Lytechinus pictus: one gene and its partners. Each later gene encodes a partner of the first gene's protein in a complex. Links are inferred from orthologs where the notes say so. Each region holds a gene or a part of one and is shown on either strand. Other genes may lie near its edges.

Region 1 (7,789 bases):
CTACCACTAGTAATAGGGGCAGGAAAATGAGCAGGTGGGAACGTCGACATGGCTAAGTCATGGTAGCTTGGGTTCCAGTAAACATTGATCTAGATATGGGTGCAAAGAAAGAATCAAGGAGGTTACATCAAGAAAAACAAGAGGAATGCCTCTGGCAGTTTTACCTGCATTATGCAATTCATTATAGCAGCAGAGCCAATTTTGAAAACAACTAATATGAATAATTACAAAAAAAAATTATTATTCACAAAAAACACAATTCATATGATAATTAGATTAATTCATTGAACCTAAATGACCTTTGACTGTGATCATGTGACCTAAGACTCATCCAAGACGATCAGTGATATTTACCCTTGTTTCATGAACTACATCCATAAACTAGTATCCCCACATGGTCAACACTCATTGACCCTTAATGACCTTTGACAGTGACCTAAAACTCATGTGAGACAATCGGTGATACTTGACTCTGACATAAGTATGTCCCAGTTTCATGAAATAGATCCAGAAACTTTCAGTTATGGTGGCCAATTCAACATATACCCTGACATTAGGAAGATAATGTTAGTCTGATCTACTAGTAAGTTAGCAACCTAACGTTAAACATCTATCTGAGACTGAGATTACTCGATCTGCTCAAAATACATGCACTCTCACATGCCATGCCATCCAGCACAACTGGTGTCAACAGGTGATTTTAATAACTCACGTTAGTCATGTGCACTGCAGATCACACAAATGTGAGTTTCTAATGTTATGCGACATAGCTGCATGAGACCATGAGCAAAATTTCTACTCAACAAGCTGTAAAAGAGTGGAACGATCTACCTCAAGAAACTGTAAAGGCAATGTCATTGGAAAGTTAAAAAAATGGCTTGACAAATTTTGGTGTGAATGAGAGACCGCTAATTCGAGATGCACATTCAAGTTTAAATTAACCATAGTCATGGAACAGGCTAAATCTAGTAGAAGTAATCAACCACAACATTACAACCAGATATCTACATTTAATCCTATATTCATCTGTATATCCTGATGTGATATCATACATAATTGCATGCACCATTAATGAAAAATCCTACTTGCTAAGTACTATCCAGACGGGGCTATTCTAGCTCAAGCGAAAAAGGAAAAAAAAAAGTTCAAACGTCTGGAGCCACACTGGAAAGTGTCAGCATAAAACAGGCTGATTGGGAAACGGCACGACAGGGCAAACTAAGCCTGCAAGAAAAATGTGATCTGAATTGATTTTCAGCTCGTATTTAAGATCAAGAAGATGTATGAAAAGAGAAATTCTGAGACTTCTGTTGATGCTAAGGACAAGGTAATAGCATCATTAGAAATGAGGATTACGAGATAAATAGCAAACCCTCATTTTTTGTGTGTGTTGAGATTGCAATTTCCCATTGCGTTTACTAAAATTGAATTTCTGTTGGGAACAATTTTACACTGTGATCTGATTTTCAAATTAAAAAGAAATCATACTATCAGAAAGTGTCAAATTTACTATCTGGCACTCTGTGGACAAGTTTTTGGCAGCCATCAAGAATAACAGCTCTCGGCACCCATTTGATTTGGATTTGTGTGTGTCCCATACAGCCTAAGGCAGAAAAAGCTGAAAATCTGTCTGATTTCATTCTTCTTTTTTGTGGTCATAAATTGGAATATTTCATAAAATATCACATTTTTGTTATTCTGAAGGTAATTTCAATTATTCCTCTTCACAACCATAAAGCACATTCCAAATCCAATTTTTTTTTCTCCAGACAAAATTAGTCTCCAAAACAAGTTTGAAGTTCCAGAATTTTAGAAATCTTATAATGATTTAGATTATAGTAAGTTAATTACCATACTGTATGTTTTTGGATCTTATTACCAAACACTTTTCATAATATCCAATCATGTCAAACTTCATCAAACATCCACCATGAACACACAAATAGACTAGATCTAGTCTACAGGACTACAGGTAAATACAGATATAACATTTTTGCCCAGATCAATTTTCTTTTTTACCTTCTGATCGCACCCTGTCCCCTCTTCACATGTGAAATATTTTGGTCACTTAAAAATGGTATTGTATTACCAAGCTAACGTGTGAGTTTTGTGGGAAGAAATGGAAAAAAATAAAATAAACCACTGATCAGCTTTTTTTCACCATGTTTTGTTGTTTTGAGAAAAAATTTGTTTTGGACCTTTTTCATCATCTTTCTTAAACGTAATATTGAAATTACCTTTGAAAAGATGTTGCAAAGTTAAAAGCGTATTGAATTTCTGATGTGTAATAGAGCACGTTTGGTAATACAAGGCTGGTCGACATAGTGAGTGATATTGTCCACCGACCTGGCTTGTATTACCGAACACGCGCATCATACACATCAGAAAGTAATTTCATACGCTCAGAACATTGCAACATCCTTCACATGGTCATAGAAAGATGATAAAATTTAAAAATTTAACCAAAAACTTATTTTCAAAGTCTTTGTATTCTCAAAGTAAGAAAACATTATAAAAATAGCTCATCAGTGATTTTTTCATCTTCTCCCATAGAAAACACATGTTTGGTTACAGGGCCCCATCTTACAAAGAGTTACGATTGATCCAATCAATCACAACTATGGAAAGCCAGCAACGTCAACATCTACATTACATGTTTCTTCAAAATGTTTTCTAGAATATGAGGTAGATCTATATTCATACATTATAGGCCGACAGTACTGTTTTCTTGACAATTCAGTATGCTCCTCTTTGTTTTCAAACTCAAAGGACATAAAATACACAAATAATGAAATAGGTCTACGGTATACCTGTATACCGTAGACCTAGTAGTAAGTATTTCATTATTTGTGTATTTTTATGGTGAAAGAAAAACACTGAAAGTTTGGTGAATTTTATTATGACAATAGACCGAAGTTAGTGACTGTGCTTTATATTTAAAAGTGTTCGGTAATCCGGTACTAGCCTAGGCCCACTCTAGGCGACACCGCAATACTTACCCGTGTTAATAAAGTGGGACTCCGCTCACGCGCGTTTGGGCCTCCCTAGCTTAGAACTAAGCACTAATATCACCTTAAAAACTAAATCTACAAGGTATGTATAATCTATTTACAACTTTAATAATGTTTAATCGGTACTCACCGGTTCTTTTGATGTATTTTCTCAAGAATTCCCACGGATTTGTCTCAAATCTCGCGACAAACCACGTCGCCATAGACAGCTGCATATTCTTTTTTATTTATAAATAAAGCGCCCCTTACGATAGTTGTTAACAACGCGGCCAAATCGTTAGGTTTTTTGCACTGTGTCCAAGGCTTTTTTATTTTGTTTGATTTTTTATTTTTTAATAAATATTTTGTTCAATAGCGATTTTTACGTCAAATATTAAATTTATATCATAAAATATTTTTTAATTGTAGAAAAATACATAATATTATGCAATAATTTATTCTATATATATTTTATAATAAAATTTATAATTGTTGCGGTCTTTAAAAAGGATAGTCGATTGATCAGGTGATGACCACACGTATCACGTGATCTGAAAATCAGCTTCATACCGCTTTGATCGCACTCGACGGTGACCGGACTGACTGCCAAAAAAAGATCGAAAATGACTCAAATGTAAGTTTCCCTTTATTTTATTAAATTCAAATTAGGAATAGGAATATATTTAATGGGCAATCTTTTAATAAATGATAAACAAACGAGGACAAAACTCATATTTTGGGAGTAATATCATACTTGGGTGCAGGAAACAGTACGGTTAGAAGTTCTAACCTGTTTTTAACGCATTGTCGCCTATGAGGTCCATACATGCTAATGTTTGGACCTCATTGGTACTAGGAGTGCCTAGGCCCTATGTATGTATGATTTGTATCAGTAGGGTGTCTGAAGCCACACTGAAAAGTGTCAGCATAAAACAGGCTAATTTAGGGGAAAATATGGCACATTTTTTCAGGGAAGTTCAGGCTACTAGAAAAATGTGATCTGAATTGATTATTAACTTGTGTTTGGCATGTATGGAAAGAGAAAATTCAGGGGCATCTTTTGACAGTAAGGACAAGTTTATATGATCATTTTGAATAAGGATTTAGAGATAAATTGCAAACCCTTATTTTTGTGTGTGTTGAGATTGCCATTTCTCCATGCGTTTTCTATGGGAAAATGAAATTTCTGTTTTGCACAATTTTTTTCACTTTGTCGCAATTTTTCATTGTGATCTGGTTTCCAAATCTTTATGAAAATCATACCATCAGATAGAGCATAAAAAATCCTATTGGACTCTTTATGGACAAGTTTTTGGCATTAATAATAAATTTATAACAGCTCTCGGAAGCTAAAAATTTGGATTTGTGTGTGTCCATTTCTTAACTACACTACACAGTCTATGGCAGAGAAATGCTGAAAATTTACCTAATTTCATTCTTCTTTTTTGCAGCCAATAATTGGATTTTTTTCAAAAATTTTACATTTCTGTCAGTCTGAAGGTCATTTCTCTTCAAATTCACAAAGAAAATGTGATAATTTCTTGAAATAAGAAAAATAATTTTTTTCTCCAGACACCCTACTAGTATCAGAACTATCATGATTATTATACGATCGTAATGATCCACTGCTCCAATCGCGTAGTCACTCACTTTTGAAAAACAAAACAGGTGGAGGATGAACGATGAAATTCAAGAGATGAAAAGAATGCAAAGTTTCCTTGGCCTCGGCTCGGGAAACTGGTAGGATACAGCTCCAAATAAACGAGGGTCATGTCACTAGTCCCGGCACGGCCCCGCGCCCCGGACGTCGCCACTTCGTGTTCAGTCTATCTGCCGCACGCAACCTTGCGCTTGCACGTGTTCGAATGTTCTCCTGCGACAGTAAAATTTCTTTTATAATTTGTCCACTTGATAACCCAGTAGCTTACATTGCATCACAAATTAAGTTTTCATAACTCCGGGAATTGCTTTTGACAGACAAGTCCTGGAAACAAGAAATCATGATCACAATATTAGGAAAAAGATCTGTTGCATCCTGTGTGAGGGTTTGGAGGTCATCATGTGTTGTATCTTTAAATGATCCCAATTTGCGACAAGCTTCCAACGCAGCAGCAGCAGGCAAGTTTCGACTCTGTTTCGTCTTTCAGTTTCAGCTTTGCCTTGGCTTTGGCTTCCCCCGCACCTTCGCGCGACCCAACATATACCGGTAGCCGGTGCGCTTCTCCTCCGTACGGTACGGTACCTGTACGCGCCCCGGCCCCGTAAGCTCGGGCTGCCCCGCGCCGCGCTGGAGCATAGACAGTCGACAGCTAGCTGAGCTGAACCAGCTTACCAGTCTGAAAGAAACAGTGGAACAAGAAGAAGCCATGAACTTCGAACAGCATTAACAGAGATTGAAATTTTCAGTCTAATAAAACTAAAAGTAAAAGCTAAGATTAGCAGATAAGTGGCCCGTAAGTCGTAACACAAAGCTTAGCAAGCCAATGGCAATGCTATGGCAATGATCGTAGTCGTACTCGTACTAGTCACTACTAGAATATTTTTCTACGATTGATTCCATTGTCTACGATGTACATCACTACAGTACATGTACAATCAATCGTGAAAATCAAGCGTATGATTAATCGCTAACCTTTGCTTTGGCTTTGTGTTACAGGCCCCTGAATTGATTGTCCGTGATGCTGATGATATTTGATTATTGAAAAAAAAAAAAAAAATTATTGCATGAACTTGAATTAAAATGAAGTTGAAGTGGTTACTTTTGTTCACGGCAAGAGTTCACGTTTTATTGTGGCCACTGTTGTTGACACTGTGTCTGTGACTGAATGAGTGATAGTGTGAAAAAGAATGCAGAAGACTGAAGAGTAATGAATCCTGAACTGAACAAGGGCAGAGCAGAGAGAGGAGAAGTCCCGGGGCGGGGGGAGGTACTCGACGCGAGACAAAAAACTGGGGCCTTGGAGCGGCTTATTGTTAAAAGGAGGGTCCTCAGAACTACAAATGTTTGTGAAAACGGGGTCTTTGGAACGGGTCGCCTGCGTGTGAGTGCGTATGCATCCCTATGGACTGTGCATGCAGCTAGCCCGGCGACACGGGCGCCAGATGCGCCAGGCAATAGTTGGACAGCGCTCTGCGGCTGCTTTTCTTCACCAAAATTGCGGCTCATTGTAGTAGATCAATGCGGCCGGAACGGCGTAACGGAAAATATGCGAAGCTTTGGAGCGGATTTCTTTCTTTTTTCTCGATAAGAAAATGCTATGCTTTGGAGCGGCTTTCTTTGTTCTTTTTCTCAAGACAAAAATGCTACGCCTTGGAACGGAAATTTGAGTGCAAAAATGGGGGTCCCCTCCACGGTACATACCTAACTATGCATTATATACTGAGTGCCCCCTCCAGGGGAGAAGTCAGATTAAAAATAAGGTCTATGTGATGGTGGTCCCCAAGTCTGCGCACCTAACGATTTTGAGTTCAGATTTAACATGAATTTCTTTTTATTTCACAAAATCTTTCAGTTAATAATGTTCTTAATGAGTAAGTGTACCAAATATCTCGTACAATTTTGAAAGAAATTATAGGAATTTCTTGGAAAAAACGTCGGGCAGTCATTTTCAGATTGAAAAAAAAATGGTACCACATGTCTGCGCACCCATTCACTTTGCACACGATTCGGGTATTTTGATGAGAAAGGCTCCATTTAGAGGCCGTCACATGAAATGCCCCAAATTAATTATTTTCCCACCATTTTGAGTCAGGATTTTTTAATGAATATCTGGCTATGTGTTGTATGTGTAAATTTTGTGTTCGTTGCGTATCTTCTTTCACTAGAATCGCGCAGATACGCGTGTGCGCAGACAAGGGGGACTGCGTAGACTTGGGGGAACTTGCCATATACATTGTACATAACTTCAACTTGTTCAAAGTCATAGATTTTTATAGAGATTAAAAGTGCAACAAAAAAAGAAGACCGGAGTGGAGACGGAGAAATAGAAAAGTACATATCTGAAGAAGCAAATTGATTCAAAAGTTTAATTTGAACCGTCATGAAGCATCAGAAATTCATGACCATTCAAATTACATTTTTAATCAATTTGCTTGTTCAGATATATGTAGACCTCATGAGCATTGCATTGCAATATGATTACTTGTACATTTTGTGTGATCTAAAGCTTGACTAAAACATTTTCCCTTGATGATTTTTATTCACCCTGGGCTTGTGGGGCTTGTGGGGCCTGGGGTAGTGAGTTTGTAGAGCGATCAATACTGTTACATTGTTGATGTAAGATTGTTAGTAATCCTTTGCTACACTCATTCAAGTTTTGATCTTTATTTGTTTTTTATTATCAGATGTGAAAGATGAGAAGAGCCTTGAAGGAAGAGCTCTATATCTGGATGCTCAGTCTACAACACCACTGGTAAGAATGTGACTTCTCAAGCTTTGTATCCAAAATAAGTCCCAAGAATGGATTCTCTGGATAATGTAAAAAAAGATATGGTCATGTAGGATATAAAAATAAAGATATTATAGTCTGTTGAATTAATGCAGGCCTGCAAACTACTTTTTTCCAGGAGCACTCTGTTTTCATTTCTTTAAGATGAAAAATAAATCAGTCCATTAATGTATTAGTGTAGTGGGTTTTTCTTTTCTACACTTGTAATTTCATGGTAAATATGTCTTAATTTTTTAAAAAAGTGAGGGAGACACATTGGACATCGAGCAGAAAAATTTGCTTCTAACGATTGGGACTCCTTTTTTCATTTTCAAATGTTGGCTTGCCTGTAAATGTTGTAAAGAAGTTAGT
Region 2 (7,343 bases), on another chromosome or scaffold:
AAAGCAAGGGAAGGAGGAGAGGGTAAAGGGGGAGAGGGAGAGAAAGAGTAAGAAAAACAAAGAAAGAAGAAAGAGAGAGAGATTAAGATATCTTTTTTTTCTTTATTATAGATTATTTCAGAGCAATTACCTATTTCTTTTACCCCAGTGAGTACACAACTTTGGTATGGAGAGTAATCTGCCTTTGTTCCTCAAATTGGCACGGTGTTGCCAATTTAAAGTCAGTGCTGATAATGCAAAGTCAATTGAGACTTGTGAGCATTCAAGATAAAGAAAAATACTGGTTACATTCTTAGGAAAATCCTGCCTGATATCTCACTGATTTTACTATTTAAATAAAATTTAAAAAAAAAACAAAAAACACCGAAATGAATGAATGAATGAAAAATGCTTTGCAAAATGACTTATTGATATTCATTTTATACTTTGAACTTGACATCTCTAGATGTTGTCATTAACAGCTGAACAATATTTTTTCATAATTGTTACTTAACCTTATATTCTAATTTTACAGTCAGTCACAAGAATCATAACGGAATAACTTTCTAAATCAAAGCTTACCTGTAGTTTCATGACGTCACCACATGCTGGTGCACCAACCAACCCTGTGCCAACATTCTTGTCATTCTTGTCCATTGCTCCAACATTCCTTGGGTTCTCGTAGTGATCTATCACCTAAGAATACAAAGATAAATAGGAGATGAGATCAGTTGGATCAAGACAGGTTAGACTAAGATAAGCTTCACGATGGATTACTACTTGCACACATTTCTTGCACTGTGTGATTGACAAGCAAGTAGCAGATGCTTTGGAGAGTAACCTTGCATTTAAAGAATGAAACGTTTGGAACGAGATAGCTTGTGTGAAAACAGAAAACTCAAAGAAACTGATCAACGAAAGTTTGAGAAAAAATCAGACAAATAATGAAAAAGTTATGAGCATTTGAATATTGCGATCACTAATGCTATAGAGATCCTCCCATTGGCAATGCGACAAAGATGTGTGATGTCACTTGTGAACAACTCTCCCCATTTCTTTAGTATATATTTCACTTGAACTGCCTCTTTTATTACATCTATCAGTAGATCATGTGTTCTTTCTGTAGGAGGGCATGTAATACAGATTTTTAAAGAATACATCATGGATAAAGAGTTTGTATCACCATAACAAAAAGCAAAAGGAGACATTTTGGGGGTATTTTATAGTCCATCAAAGAAAAAGTTGTTCACATGAGACATCACACATCCTTGTTGCATTGCCAATAGGAGGATCTCCATAGCATTAGTGATTGCAATATTCAAATGATCATAACTTTCTAATTATTTGTCAGATTTTTCTCAAACTTTCTTTGTTCTTATTCTTTGATTTTTTCGTTTCGACACAAGCCTACTTATTCCAAAGGTTTCATTCCCCTTTTAACTACGTTTCAAAGGTATTGTATTTATTGGTAGACTCTACCCATATTTTATCAAATAATCATAAGAATTGCACATAGGGTCTACAAAGAATTTAGACACAGTTATAAAACTACTGACGAGCTGAATTAAGGTTGTGAATATTAATAGCGCGGCACTTTTAAAATTAGCAACCCTAATTTAGCTCGTTAGCGCCACCATCAGGCATGTCGGGCTTCCTTTTACTTCTGTGGAAGAGTATGCAACACCACTTTCGAGCTTTCCAAAAAAGTAAGCAACTTTTCTATTCTTTAAATTGAATTTCAATGTTTAAATCTACTTCTGTTATGAAGTGATGTTTACTGACTTCTCAAAAATCCACTGTCACTGACTCACGGCACTGACTGTGACGTGTAGTGCCTGGTTAGTATAGCTATAGCTAACCTCGAATTGGGCGACGTGATACACATGCAGGCAGGCTCGCACTAACACACTACCATGACTACCGTCGGTGGGTGGGGATTACATACTAAAAAATGTAAGAAATTGGGCGCTAATGCAGTTTCGCACCGGCCGATTACCAGCATACCTCATCACCACTAAATTTACTTGTCCCCAAATGTCATGACAAGTCTCTCAGTCACATTTCGAGGTCAATATATACCTACCTCTTTTCCAAATATCGCGATCAGGAACGGCTGTATTTCAGCTTTGATCTCAATGTCGTTGTTCGAATCCTCAGACATCACTTCACGGATCTTGGCCTTGGATTCGCCGGGCACCGTAATGTTGATGGACTGAAGTTAGCAACCAAATCATGCGAACATGTGGCGAACTGCCAGCATGCTGCAGCTAGGCGAATCTTTTGCCTTGGTCGCATAACTTCAGTCCAAAAAGGTGGGTATATTGACCTGGAAATGTGACTGACAGACTTGTCATGACATTTGGGAACAAGTATTGGTAATGAGGTATGCTGGTAATCGGCTGGTGCGAAACTGCATTAGCGCCAATTTTGAGGAAAAATTTCAGACTTAAAACTTTTCCATTATTACAAAATGGTATTGGTATTACATGTTCCTATTTATAGGGACATGAGAAAGGGGCTTAACATTATACCTTACAGTATTGTTAAGCGTAAGCCCCTTTCTCATGGTTTGCTGCAACTAACTAACTACACATTTGACCGGAAACTGCCACCTGGTTTTACCAACTGCAACCTTACACACAAACTCAGCTCCGCGCGCTCTCACTCGGCTTTGATACTAGTACCAGTGGTAGTGGTACTGTAGCCGTGTAGGCAGCCTTCTCATCTCATTCTTCTCATAATTTTCTGGTCGCCACAAAAAGATGTACTCACATTTTTATGATACGAGGCTGATGCAGGAACCGGTTGAACTAACTTTGTTGCCAGTAGAGGCCGCAAAGTCTTCCCAAGTAGTCGTGCATTGCTTGAAATTGGCATTTTGATGTCACAAATTTGTATTCGTCGCAGTCAGAATAAGCGAAAACAGCGGATTGCGTAAAGTTGTTTATCATTATCACGTGACACATGTCACGTCACATGGCCTATGGGTAAATATTAATTAAAATAAGGATTTCCCCTCTCAGTCTCTCTCCCCCCCTCTCTCTTTTCCACTCTTTCGCTCCCTCCCTTAATATTATGTTATCATAGACCATTTTATCCACCGTAATACATTGGATGAAGACAGAGAGAAAAAAAATGAATCTACAAATAAAAAATGAATGAATGAATAAATAAATTAATTAATTGAAAAAAAAAAGATAAATAAATGAATGAATGAATGAATGAATGAATTAATGAATGAATAAATGAATGAATGAATTAAATGAATAAACAATAAATCAATAATTAAATGAGAACGAAGAAATAAACGAGACAAAAAGTTGAATAAGTAATAAATAAATGCATAAATTACTTAATGAAATAGATAAAGAAATTAAGCAACGAAGAAAAATTAACAGTAAGGCAGAACTTCCAATAGGCCCTATATATATTTATGCCTATTTTTCTATTTTTTTGTCAAGGATTCTAATTACACTATACATAATAGTTGCAAATAGTGGCAAATTAACACGTATTTCTTCTTTTTCATGTACACGTACTCTACAGTTGTAAATATTGGCATTTCTTTATGTATTAGTTTCAGATTATATCAATTGCAAATTAAGACTTCATATTTCTTTTTGATCCTGCAGACCTGACAAGCTTTGCTTTTTTTAATGCAGGTTCCCTAATATTTCACCATATTTTGAACTGTCCTTGATTTCAAATCGCCGTATTATTTAATTAAAAAGATGAATATGCTGCCATGTCTTATTTTTCATACGATATTCATTCGGATGTTATATAATTGTGTGAAATATATGTAAGTCAATCACGTTACTATCGAAAATATAGCTCGATACGCCGGCATCGCTTTACATTCTCACGTTCAAGTATCCTAGTAAATGATGATAATAGACACAATTTTTTTTTTTTTTTTTGGGGGGGTCCTTTATATTTTTTTCTTGTTTTTTTATCATTCTGTGCAATAAATCACAGATAATCAATACAAGTAGGGCCTAATTGAGAAAAAGAAATGAGAGAAAAAATAATAGAGCAATAGAATTGTCATCATTTGGAAACAATTAATACGACATATCAATTAACAATGATTAACAAGTAGTTAATGTAGTCACTTTGTCTCTTCTATATACGTATTCCTCATCCCCTATAATAATATTAAAGGGGAAGTTCACCCTGACAAAAAGTTTATTGTGAAAATATCCTAGAAAAAAATAATAAACTAATATTGCCGCCTGAGGTTTGAGAAAAATCGATCAAAGAATAAACAAGTTATTCGAATTTTAATTATTTGATTTGTGACGTCATATGCGAGCAGCTTTCCTACAATATGGCAAAATCAACTGATCAATGAAATGTCATTTTCCCAGAAAATTGAAAATGTTTCTTTTTCTGTGCCTTCAGTATATCAATAGACAATGATTCCGCACCCGTTCCTAAAAAGAAACCAGGAATATTCACGGCCACAAATACGGACCATTACAAAATTGGATGCATTTTATATTACATAACATGTTGGGCTACCCGTTGGGCTATTGCTCGTTTATGACGTCACAAATCCAAAACTTAACCATGTTAAAATTCTTCTCAAACCTTCACCAATATGTTTGATTATTTATTTTTTCTGCCGGCTATTTTTACAACAAACTTTTCTACAGGGTGATCGGGCCCCTTTAAAGGCAAGAAAGTAGCAACAGTGGGATCTTTGCACGCGTTGGGGGATAGTAATGACAATATTATGATTTCCTTGTTATTTTCTTTAATGTAAGATTTTCATATTGCACGGTCATTATTATATAGATGTTATCCAAGAACTATTGCTTTTTTATTAGCTTATCTAATTTGAAGGAAGGGGAGAAAATTTATTATTACGATTGTTGAATTTAATCGCACGAATGGGCAAGATTGCAACATCAGCGCGTAAGAACAAGTTAGATTCAGGCTCATCAAGACATTGTTAGTTGTAAAATAATTATGATAGTAAATAACTTACAACTTAAATCTAAATTCCGAAAATAATTTGTAAGTTTATTATTTTTTCTTGGCAATATGAGATGCGAGACACTGCTAATACCTCGGTCACATTTGCTTTACGGCAGCCGTACGGCGAGTCGAAAGCACCCGTTATATTCATTTTTTCAAACCACCTATATGAAGCTGGTACACAAAATATTTAACGGCTGTTTTCGATTCGCCTTACGGCGGCCGTAGAGCAAACGTGACCAAGGTATTATATGATTGATATTTCTTTCTATGACATTTGAGGGATGAACGGGAAGATAGCCAATCGTGGTGCATCCCATCAAAGTAAGATGGGTCACTCCAAGGGCTACCTGTTCCCTCTAGAAAAATTCCTCACAGACTATTTAAGCTGTGGAACCTAGGGCTACCTAGGCTCGTTATTTTCCTTACTCATTAGTTTAAGGCATGCCGCCGAAGAGGGCACTCAACCATCCCAACCAAAATAAAGATATTTGTTGTAGCAGTTAGTAAAGAGATGCAATGTTATAGATTGCACATTAATTAATAATCCATAGGTGCTGTGCTTATATATAAATGCGTAACCTGGTTGGTAATTAATTGGAAGATAATGAGACTAAAGATTTTTGCGTCTTGATTTTCTGAATAGATTTTTATCCGCATGTTTGCCTGTAAACGATGATCAATCACAAGGAATGATATTCATAATTACTCATACATATTTATGATGTATGGTAAGCCATATGTGCAATAGGAATACAGAATCGCTTGAATAATTCCAAGTGATATAAATGTGTTGGTTTGTTGAATATGAAGCAAACAGGATAAGATATTTAGCTGGTTACAATTTAGGTCAAAACCATATGACTGTCTCGATCCGGGGGAGGAGGGGGGGGGGTGGGAGATATATCCTTAATTATTTGTAGGTGGGAGGGGATGACCTAAGTTATCATCACCCAATAATTCGATAAACATCATAATATATTTCAATATGATGAAGCGTATGACATGTACGATCATAATAGAATGACAATGATGATGATGAATAATAATGATAATAATAATAATCATCATATCAATAATAATACTAATAACATTACTACTACTACTAGTAGTACTACTACTACAACAACAACAACTACTACTACTACTACAACAAGTAAAAATAATAATAACAATAATAATAATAATAATGATGATGATGATGATGATGATTGTACGTCAAGATGGTGGTAGTGATGTTTATTGTATTTACGCTTGATGACAATTGAAAGTGTTTTTCTCATAATGTTCTTGATCGCTTTAGAATGAAACCACTCATTTTTGAAACTGTTACAAACATATAGACGGAAAAAGAAAATAAAAATCAGGATCAAACAGAATAACATGTTCATGTCTCTGTATTGATATATCATATCTTTTTCTTCAAAATTCCTTTTTGTTACCTCTTCCTGCATGCAACCAAGCAAAATGCGGTTTGTCCCGTTTATTTTACCAACATTTGGCATATAATTCATTTTTCATAGTTTTCCTATTCTGGTTAATGATGTGAAATAATTGGAGAACACACGAAATTTGTGAGAAGTAGAGTGTAAGGAAAGAACCTTGAAAACCGATAAGAGTCCTGAAAATAATTTATTTCCAGGTCAATTAAAAAAAAAAAATTAGCTCGAGCTTTAATTGCGAGAGCATTATTGATCTGATCCTATAGTCCTAGACGAACACAACACTGGAAATATCTTGGATGCAAGACGAACTAAATCGTATTTTGAGCTGTTGTCTTGTTTCATTGTAGGCCTGTAACACTCTTTTCAAACACAAATATTTTAATTTCTCTATAGCAATGTAAACGGTTTATATTGGTCTGCAATTCGTTGATTGATCTACTTCTCAGGAATAATTTCTGATAGTCTTATCTGATAGCATAATATCACGGTTTTTTGTCAATTTCGTCTTATTGCCACAATGGTCTACATTTTTAAGGCGTTGCAATTTATTCTCTTCTTGAAGATAAACTCATGTAAAATTGATTTGTCGATCAAGTTATGTGAAACCCCGAAAACCTCCTGCTTTTGCGAATATGACATCTAAATTTGAGTCATATTTGCATACTGAAAGCTTAACTCTTTAATTTTAAAGAATAAAATCAAAACAAAAAACACACAAAAATCATGTATATCTTTGATTTCTCACCCCCTTTTTATTTTTATTTTTTGGTTCAGAGATAGCCATGAATTTAAATCAGATACTGGAGAATCCATTTGTTTTCCCTTATTAAATCTGTAAGTATGAGCGTATTTTATTACTAAAATACAAATAAAAATTGGGCGAAGTAATGTTAATTAAATATCAAATATTTTCGAGAAGCTGTATTCTTTGTCGCG
Region 3 (7,559 bases), on another chromosome or scaffold:
CTTGCACCTTTAAACTAATATCATGAAGCAAAAGTCATACATCAAAAATCTGATACAACACACACACTCAGTGTGACCGATTGTGGGACCGATTGTGGGAGACTGTTCCAGTGAAATTTATCAATGTTGATCCTCCCACATTCAAGTCTTGATACTGCCACACTACTGCATAATTTGACCATGTAGGTCCATAGTTTGAACCAGGAATTATAGTTTAAACCTGATGAATGTAAGTGATGTAAGTGCATGCCAGAAAAAGATGCAGGCTATATAATGACTTCATTCACGAAGGATTGAATCTCCATTGTTCAAGTGAATTTTAGCTATCTAGAATCTTCAAAATAATTATCCAAAACACACTAATTCTAGCTTTTCATGCAGGCCTGTTTTCATGATTTTGTTTTGAACGGATTCTTAATTCTTTATTATGACCATAGACCAATGCTTAGCTGCTTGAATACAGCCATATCCAGAAATATTCAGAAAAAAGGAGAATCTTGGGTAAAGATAATTATTAAAAAATACATTCCACTTTCACCTATCAAAGTTTAAACAATAAACAAGTACATATCTCATGGCAAATCTGGGAAAAAGCATCTGGGTCAAATGACAACCTTTTCATTTTCACTATTGATGACAGGTGTCATATAAAATTTTGATGTTCATCAAAAATCCTTTGAATATTTTTTATCTATTCATTTACCTTGTTTTGAACCCACCCTCCCCACTTTAAATGAAATGCCAGCATGTTAAAAATTGATGACATGTAACATGCACATGACACATGTACACATTATGAGCTTAGGAACAAGCACACCTCAAACTAAAAATTCATGAAATATTTGTCTCCATCTCATTCTATTCCATAGCTGCAATGATGCAATCATTCTTTCATCTGGTATCCTCTCCCTCTGATTAAAATGGGAAACAAGTTCTTCATCAGAAGAGACAAGTAATATTTGGGAGTCAAAATATTGCTTCCCCAAATCCTCAGATACTGTCACTTACATCATCCTTGTTATTTGCATAGGAAACTGTCCAGAAGTTGACACTTTCTTTGGTTAGCTTGTCTTCACTGAATCACTTTCAATAACCAGCTTAGGTTCCCTGTAAAGTTGGCTGATAGTGGCCTTTAAGAATAAGTGAAAGTTAACATTATACTTGACTTCAAGTTAACATTGACACTACTCCTACAACTACTGCTTTTGCTAATGCTTCTACTACTACTGCTACTAATATTACTTCTTCTACTACTATTACTACATGTACAGTAAGCTCCATCCGATTGTATCAAGATTTGTCAGTCTATGTTCAGAGACCCTTCTTTGAATATATGGTTTTTTTTATTAACCTTATGACAACTAAAATCTATATATTCTGGGCCAAACATCCATCATATGGCTTTCTGTAACACAATTTAGTTTGTTTGCCTCCAGACGTACATTGTACATTGATTGATTGTGATTGTGATTTGCAAAGAAAAAAATAAAGAAAAAAAGAACAAAGTAGAGTATCAAAATGACAAGTACATGTATGGGTCATCATGTTACTCTATAAATAGACTTCCCCTTTAGGTTGTCCTGTTGCTTTGCCCCTCCCCCCTTCTCCTCCCTATCAAAATACACTGGCACTACCCCTGGGACTGAATACAGTGTTTGTCTATATTACCTGTCTTCTGATAATGTTCAAATTATCCTCAGCCTTCTTGATGTATCCTTCTATAAGCTCTGGATTTGTTTCTGCTTTGTGTTCTTGAAAGGCATCTCGTATCCTCCTCACTGCATACGTCCTGACAATAAAAAGAAATGAAAAAAAAAAGAAACAGATTAGAACAATGATTACAGGGAGAGAGATAGATAGATTATTAGATAGATACATGTAGATAGATAGATAGATAAATACATAAATAGATATATCAATAGATAGATAGATAGATGCCAAAAATTATAGAGCACAGTAATTTGACATCATAACAATTTTGTTTAAAATTACATCAGTTCCCTGAAAATACCTCATCATTAAGCTAAAATATCATTATAAAAACCTAACAAGGTCTATCATGTTTTTAGTAAATAGCAATGATTTATATAACATTTACCTGCAGGTGCATAGATACTGTATGATGTAGCTCTTATGCTCTACAATTACAAATTACATTGTACATCCATAATGCCTTTAACGGTAAATGCAGCCATTACCATGTCTCTCACTCTCAGGCTGAGCTGAGGAAGGAAAAGTTACTGTTTTCATCATAAAAAGCAAAAAATAAATAAAGTTACACGTCATATGCAAAGTTGGTTTGAATGCAAAGTAAAATTTTGTTTATTCATAAGGCCAGGCCCAAGGGTAAAAATCTACTTTTATATGGCAACATGGTTGTTTTTTTTTGCAGATGAATTTCAATCAAATTGGTCGGATTCGATGAGTGGTGAACTTTTAGTTTTATAATTATACTTCAAAAACATGTCATAATATTAATAATTATTCTACTTTCTTGCTACATAAATTGACCATATTATAATAGAGCACCTATGCTTCCAAGTGATCAGTAATTTACAATATGAAATCAACTTAGATCTAAATTTTGTGAGTTTTGAACTTTTGAGTACATGTAGTTCGTAAAAATATATGAAATGAAAGGTGTTACATAATGAATATCATTACCATACGTCGTTTCGAGTACATGGGACTAAATATTATATATATGTCATACATAAAAAACGTGCATTATTAAAGCATGGAATTTCCACTCTAACCTGTAATTATATCCAGTGAATTTCTGGGCTTCCCGTAGCATTTCTCTGTACAGGCTCAATATTTTCATCCTATGAACTTGAGCAGCGGCCATTTATCCGTAAAATTATTTCTACTGGAGGCTTCACGTTCGTTCAGCGAAGAGTAAACGCAATAGACATCAATGATTGCCGTTTTCGACTTGACTGCATGTGTTGGACCCAAAATAAAATAATGTGATTACTTTGTGTGATAACTCATTCTAAGCGGTACACACTGATCAGTGCGTGGCGATTCAGGGGAAGTAAATGCGGGAGTATATTGCTAATGCACTCCTTACCATCTGTGAAAGAATGATGTAAGTGATTTCATACACACGGGAACGATTTTTGTATTGGGGGTGCTGGTTTAAATTTGACAAGCAAAGAAAAGGGGGGTCGATCGCTACAAAATGATGGTGATTTCGGTACTAGGAAAAATTGGACCCCCCCCAAAAAAAGTTATTTTTTTACTAATACATGGTGAATAACACATGTACGGTACAGTCAGCACCCCAAGTTGAATCTTGGGGTGCATCCTCGATCGCTTCCCAGGGCCATCATGTTCATGCATAGGGAGGGAAAATTCTTATCATTTTTGGTTAATGTATGCACTATATAGGACCCAGATTGGCTGGCTCCTTCAAAAATGCGCCTTATTTGTATCTTTGACAGATATATGGCGCTACTGATAAAAATGCTGTGCATCATCATCATCATCCACTCTACTCCGAGTTGCCATGACCGGGTGCCTCGGGGGGGGGGGGGGGGTCTGTAAAAACGGTTCCCGTTTGCTCCGGCGACAGTCGAATGACTGAATTCAACGGCTGGATTTAACACTATATTAGGCCTATATATCCTATCCTAAACCTTACATCCTACCTACCCTAAACCTTACCCTAATAACCTAACATAATTTTACCATGTATACTATACTAACTCTAACCAGACCGAGACTCCCTGCTCTATAATTATAACCCTCCATCTTAGACAAAAATAAGGCCCGGAGCAAATGTTGTGTCACTATCTAAATTAAGTTTCGCGAGCAAGCATTTGATTTACCAAAAAAATCTGAAAATGAAAGATCCATTTAATATTTTACCCCGTTTTTCTAAATTTTTCTTGGATCAAAATCACCTTCATTTTTTTTGCATGCTTGCTTGCTTGTCAAATTCAAAACAACACCGCCTCTTAAGAATCGTCGGGACCTGACCCTTGATGGCGGGACAGATCCAGCAATGTCCAATCGGAGTGCCAATATGGAGAGTCGGGAAAAAAATTATCTGTCACAAAGGGGGTAGTCCTTGAGACCTTTAACATTTGCTTTACAAAATTATAATCAGTAGATATATAGAGGATTATTTCAAGGACTGACTGACTGATTTTGATATATTATAAACCCGAATAACCTGATCTGAGCACTATTTTTATATTTGATCATAAATAGATCGATACGTCTCGTATCTCGCTAAAAATGCCAAGTGCGAACTTAATTGGAGCAAGCTAAAAAAAATATTGAGATCTATAGACTTAACAACGAAAAAGTATACGATGAGCAACAGCTGAAAATTTTTATACAGCGGGCCTATGGCAGGGGCGGATCCAGCTTTCTCCAATAGGGGGGGCCGAAAAATATTTTCATCAACATTTTTCTCGATTGGCCGCTATCATCTGATTTTTTGTTGGCTTTTCAGGGGGTAGTCCTAACTAAAGACTGAAGTTTTTAGTATATGTTAGTTTTTTTGTTATAAACAAGTTAAGGTATCTCATGTGGTCTTGATATATAATGCTAGCGCGAGGCGCGAGCGAAAATTCTTTGATATTTGATGTCCTTAGAATTGAAGATTCTGAGCAGTTTTTATATTCATGAACAACTAAACAATGCGAGCGCGAAGCGCGAGCCGAAATTTTATTATAGTAACGTGAAAAGGGACTCAATTAGTGATTAGTGATTAATGAAGAGGATACAAGTATCACCAATTTAATAATGAGAGTGCGAAGCGCGAGCTCAAAATTTTTGATATTCCGACCTGAAAATTGAACAGTCTAAGCGCGTTTTTTATTTAAATAAAGAACAGGCTGTGTGTCTCAAACAATTAAATGCGAGCGCGAAGCACGAGCTTAATTTTTTGATATATTTACATGATAAAGGAGCATTTTGACAAATTTTGGTAAAAACTTTCAAAGAGGATAGGTATCTCACTAATCAAACAATGCGAGCGCGCAGCGCGAGCTGAAAATTTTGATATACATTAACAATTTGTGTAAATCAAACATAATAATGAAAGCTTGATGTGTGAGCTAAAATATTGTGTGCAAATTGATTATAGAACTGGTTATATTAAGTGTCATTTAATCCTCTTGAATGGGATTCATTACACAGGCAATGCGAGCGCGAAACGCGAGCACAAATTATTATATAAAGTCTATTTTTCAATTCTTCCCCTCACCTTTTTCTTGTTTCCTTTCGGGGTCGGGTCGGCCGTTTTTCGTAGTTTCTATCAAGTTAAAGAGTATACTTTTTTTCTGCAGGTTGACAAAAAATAGGGGGGGCCGGGGCCGGCTCGGCCCCCTCCTGGATCCGCGCCTGTATGGGTCAACGGTGATCTGAAAAAGGAACATTATTGTTAATGATAATTATCCAAAATCAATAATACAAGCTGAACATTTTTGTATAACATTCAGACCCGAAACCATTTCAAACACTTTTTGTAATAAAAATTAATGAACAAAATGCCTATACAACCAATGCGAGGGCAATTAAGTGTGGGCTGAACAATTTAGTTTGATCATAAGAGCTGAAAACGAAATATGTTCAAGCACTTTTCGTAATAAAAATAATTGTGTATCATACAAGCATTAGTCGAAATGATAGATTTCTGCAACATTACTACGGGAAAAAATACTAGTAATTATTGGAAAAATATAAACATTTAGGTTTTGAAATAATTATGATCCTTTAAATCTTCAAATGAATTCTAATCTTTTGAAACTTGAAATCTCTAACCGATGCAAAAAAAAAAAAAAAACAGCAGCCCGGCAATTTTTAGCACCGAGAGGCAACTGTAGATATTTTGATACAGAGATTATAGCTATTTTAATTGATTTATACATTTTTGAATACCCCCAAATATGCCTATATAAAATGGATTGGATTTGACTGGACGCGGCCCAATTGAGGCCATCAGGCATAAATATCCCTAAAATGATGTCGATCCGGATCGAGCAGATTTAAATTCATCAAAATTTGCAGAATTTTGAGCTAAATCACGGAGCTTAATGTGTAATGGAATTTTACTCACTTTTTTTCTGAACACTTGGAAAACGTCCCTAGGCTGACTGTCCAGCCCTAGCCCCCACCCCTCCCCCTCTACCTCTATCGGTTAAATTCTTTAAAGTATACATCCAAAGAAAATTCACGATTTGTGATGATTATAGACAAATTATATATGAATGGAAAGGTCTTGTCTTTTTATACACAAATATGTCACTAAAAAGTCTTATTGATGTCGTGGAAATGCAAGAAATGAAATTATTAGAGACCATTCTAAGCCCCCCAGCCGCCCCCAGACCGATGAGTTCACGCAGTGAAAACAGTCGAGAATAATGACGTCACACAATAATCGAGCTCATCATCCCTCTAGCTCTGTGCATAATACACTGAATCACCTTACTGACCTCTTCAATATCTTCCGAATTTACCGTTTTCTTCATGTAATGTGACATCCGAATTCTGTTTTCGACAACTTCAGACTATAAGGGAACCAGAACTGTGTTATTTTGCCCGTTTTTTATTGAATTGTGAACTGGAAAGATCGATTTTGTCCACTCGACAGTCTTCGTTGTGTTGCTCTACTAACTATTGAAAAACTCCAAGCTGCACGGTCCCATTCACTTGCTCCCGATGCATGTTGCAGGCTACGCTGTTTGATCCAGTCAAAAGTCAAGGTAAGCATGTTTGGAAACTGTACTTGTTCTGACGATGCATTCAGGTCAGATGACAGATACAGATCTGATATAAGTTTAGAATCATGCATTTTGGCATAACTACTATCAAAATTAAAAAGTTTTTATTTTAGAAATAATGTTTTTGCACAATTCCACCCAAGGGTTCATTACATGCCGCCACGCACAGAAAAATCAAGCCATAGAAGTCGTGTGTTGTGGACCCAAGAAGTGAGATCCCAGACGCCTCCAGGCTAAGCACGCGCAACCCACTAGTTAGAAATCCACTGCCAAACGCGGTTCGTGGTGCGAGGTTAGTATACTTAATACGTGTGAGTGGCACAATTCCAGCAGATTTTTTCTTCAGATTTCTAAAACTGGTCAGGACTCAGGCAGGCGATTAAATTATTTAGGAGCACTGAGTGGTATGGACCATGGCTGAAAATCTGCTGTTTCAGAGGAATGTTTAAGTTTTTATTATACACAGAATTACACACCATGATGCCGATGTCATGAAGCCAGACAAATTTTCAGCAGTGATTACCCTGATTCCTGGCCAAAATCACTCACACGTATTGCGAGGTTAGTATTAGTATACTACTAGTACGTATTGCGAGGTTAGTATTAGTATACTAACCACGAACCGCGTTTGGCAGTGGATTTCTAACTAGTGGGTCGCGCGTGCTGGGATCTCACTTCTTGGGTTCACGACTTCTATGGCTTGAATTTTCTGTGCGCGGCGGCATGTAATGAACCCTTGGGTGGGCCAAAATTAGAGTCTGGTGTTACTTTCTGATTAGAGTGTTGCTGCATATATGTATGCGTAATGCCTTCAACAATGAA

What was found. The genes of interacting proteins can lie anywhere in the genome.
Region 2: cysteine desulfurase-like (region 1) and iron-sulfur cluster assembly scaffold protein IscU-like share a complex: the UniProt entries of both Drosophila melanogaster proteins name them as parts of the mitochondrial core iron-sulfur cluster (ISC) assembly complex. The link is inferred for Lytechinus pictus from reciprocal best matches to the Drosophila melanogaster genes Nfs1 and IscU.
Region 3: cysteine desulfurase-like (region 1) and LYR motif-containing protein 4-like share a complex: the UniProt entries of both Drosophila melanogaster proteins name them as parts of the mitochondrial core iron-sulfur cluster (ISC) assembly complex. The link is inferred for Lytechinus pictus from reciprocal best matches to the Drosophila melanogaster genes Nfs1 and bcn92.

What each region holds. Positions count from the first base shown.
Region 1 is NC_087249.1:5,200,809-5,208,597, reverse strand, and holds the start of cysteine desulfurase-like, read left to right. Parts: upstream 1-4,777; 5' UTR 4,778-4,990; coding exon 4,991-5,108; exon of another isoform or gene 5,109-5,141; intron 5,142-7,334; coding exon 7,335-7,402; intron 7,403-7,789. Other genes in the region: uncharacterized protein LOC129262526, read right to left, coding at 1-50. UniProt on the Drosophila melanogaster protein: Catalyzes the removal of elemental sulfur from cysteine to produce alanine. It supplies the inorganic sulfur for iron-sulfur (Fe-S) clusters.
Region 2 is NC_087248.1:21,450,226-21,457,568, reverse strand, and holds the start of iron-sulfur cluster assembly scaffold protein IscU-like, read right to left. Parts: upstream 3,081-7,343; 5' UTR 2,857-3,080; coding exon 2,752-2,856; intron 676-2,751; coding exon 562-675; intron 1-561. UniProt on the Drosophila melanogaster protein: Scaffold protein for the de novo synthesis of iron-sulfur (Fe-S) clusters within mitochondria, which is required for maturation of both mitochondrial and cytoplasmic [2Fe-2S] and [4Fe-4S] proteins.
Region 3 is NC_087246.1:65,512,147-65,519,705, reverse strand, and holds the start of LYR motif-containing protein 4-like, read right to left. Parts: upstream 3,081-7,559; 5' UTR 2,849-3,080; coding exon 2,757-2,848; intron 1,790-2,756; coding exon 1,669-1,789; intron 1,131-1,668; coding exon 1,062-1,130; 3' UTR 1-1,061. UniProt on the Drosophila melanogaster protein: Stabilizing factor of the core iron-sulfur cluster (ISC) assembly complex that regulates the stability and cysteine desulfurase activity of Nfs1 and participates in the [2Fe-2S] clusters assembly on the scaffolding protein IscU.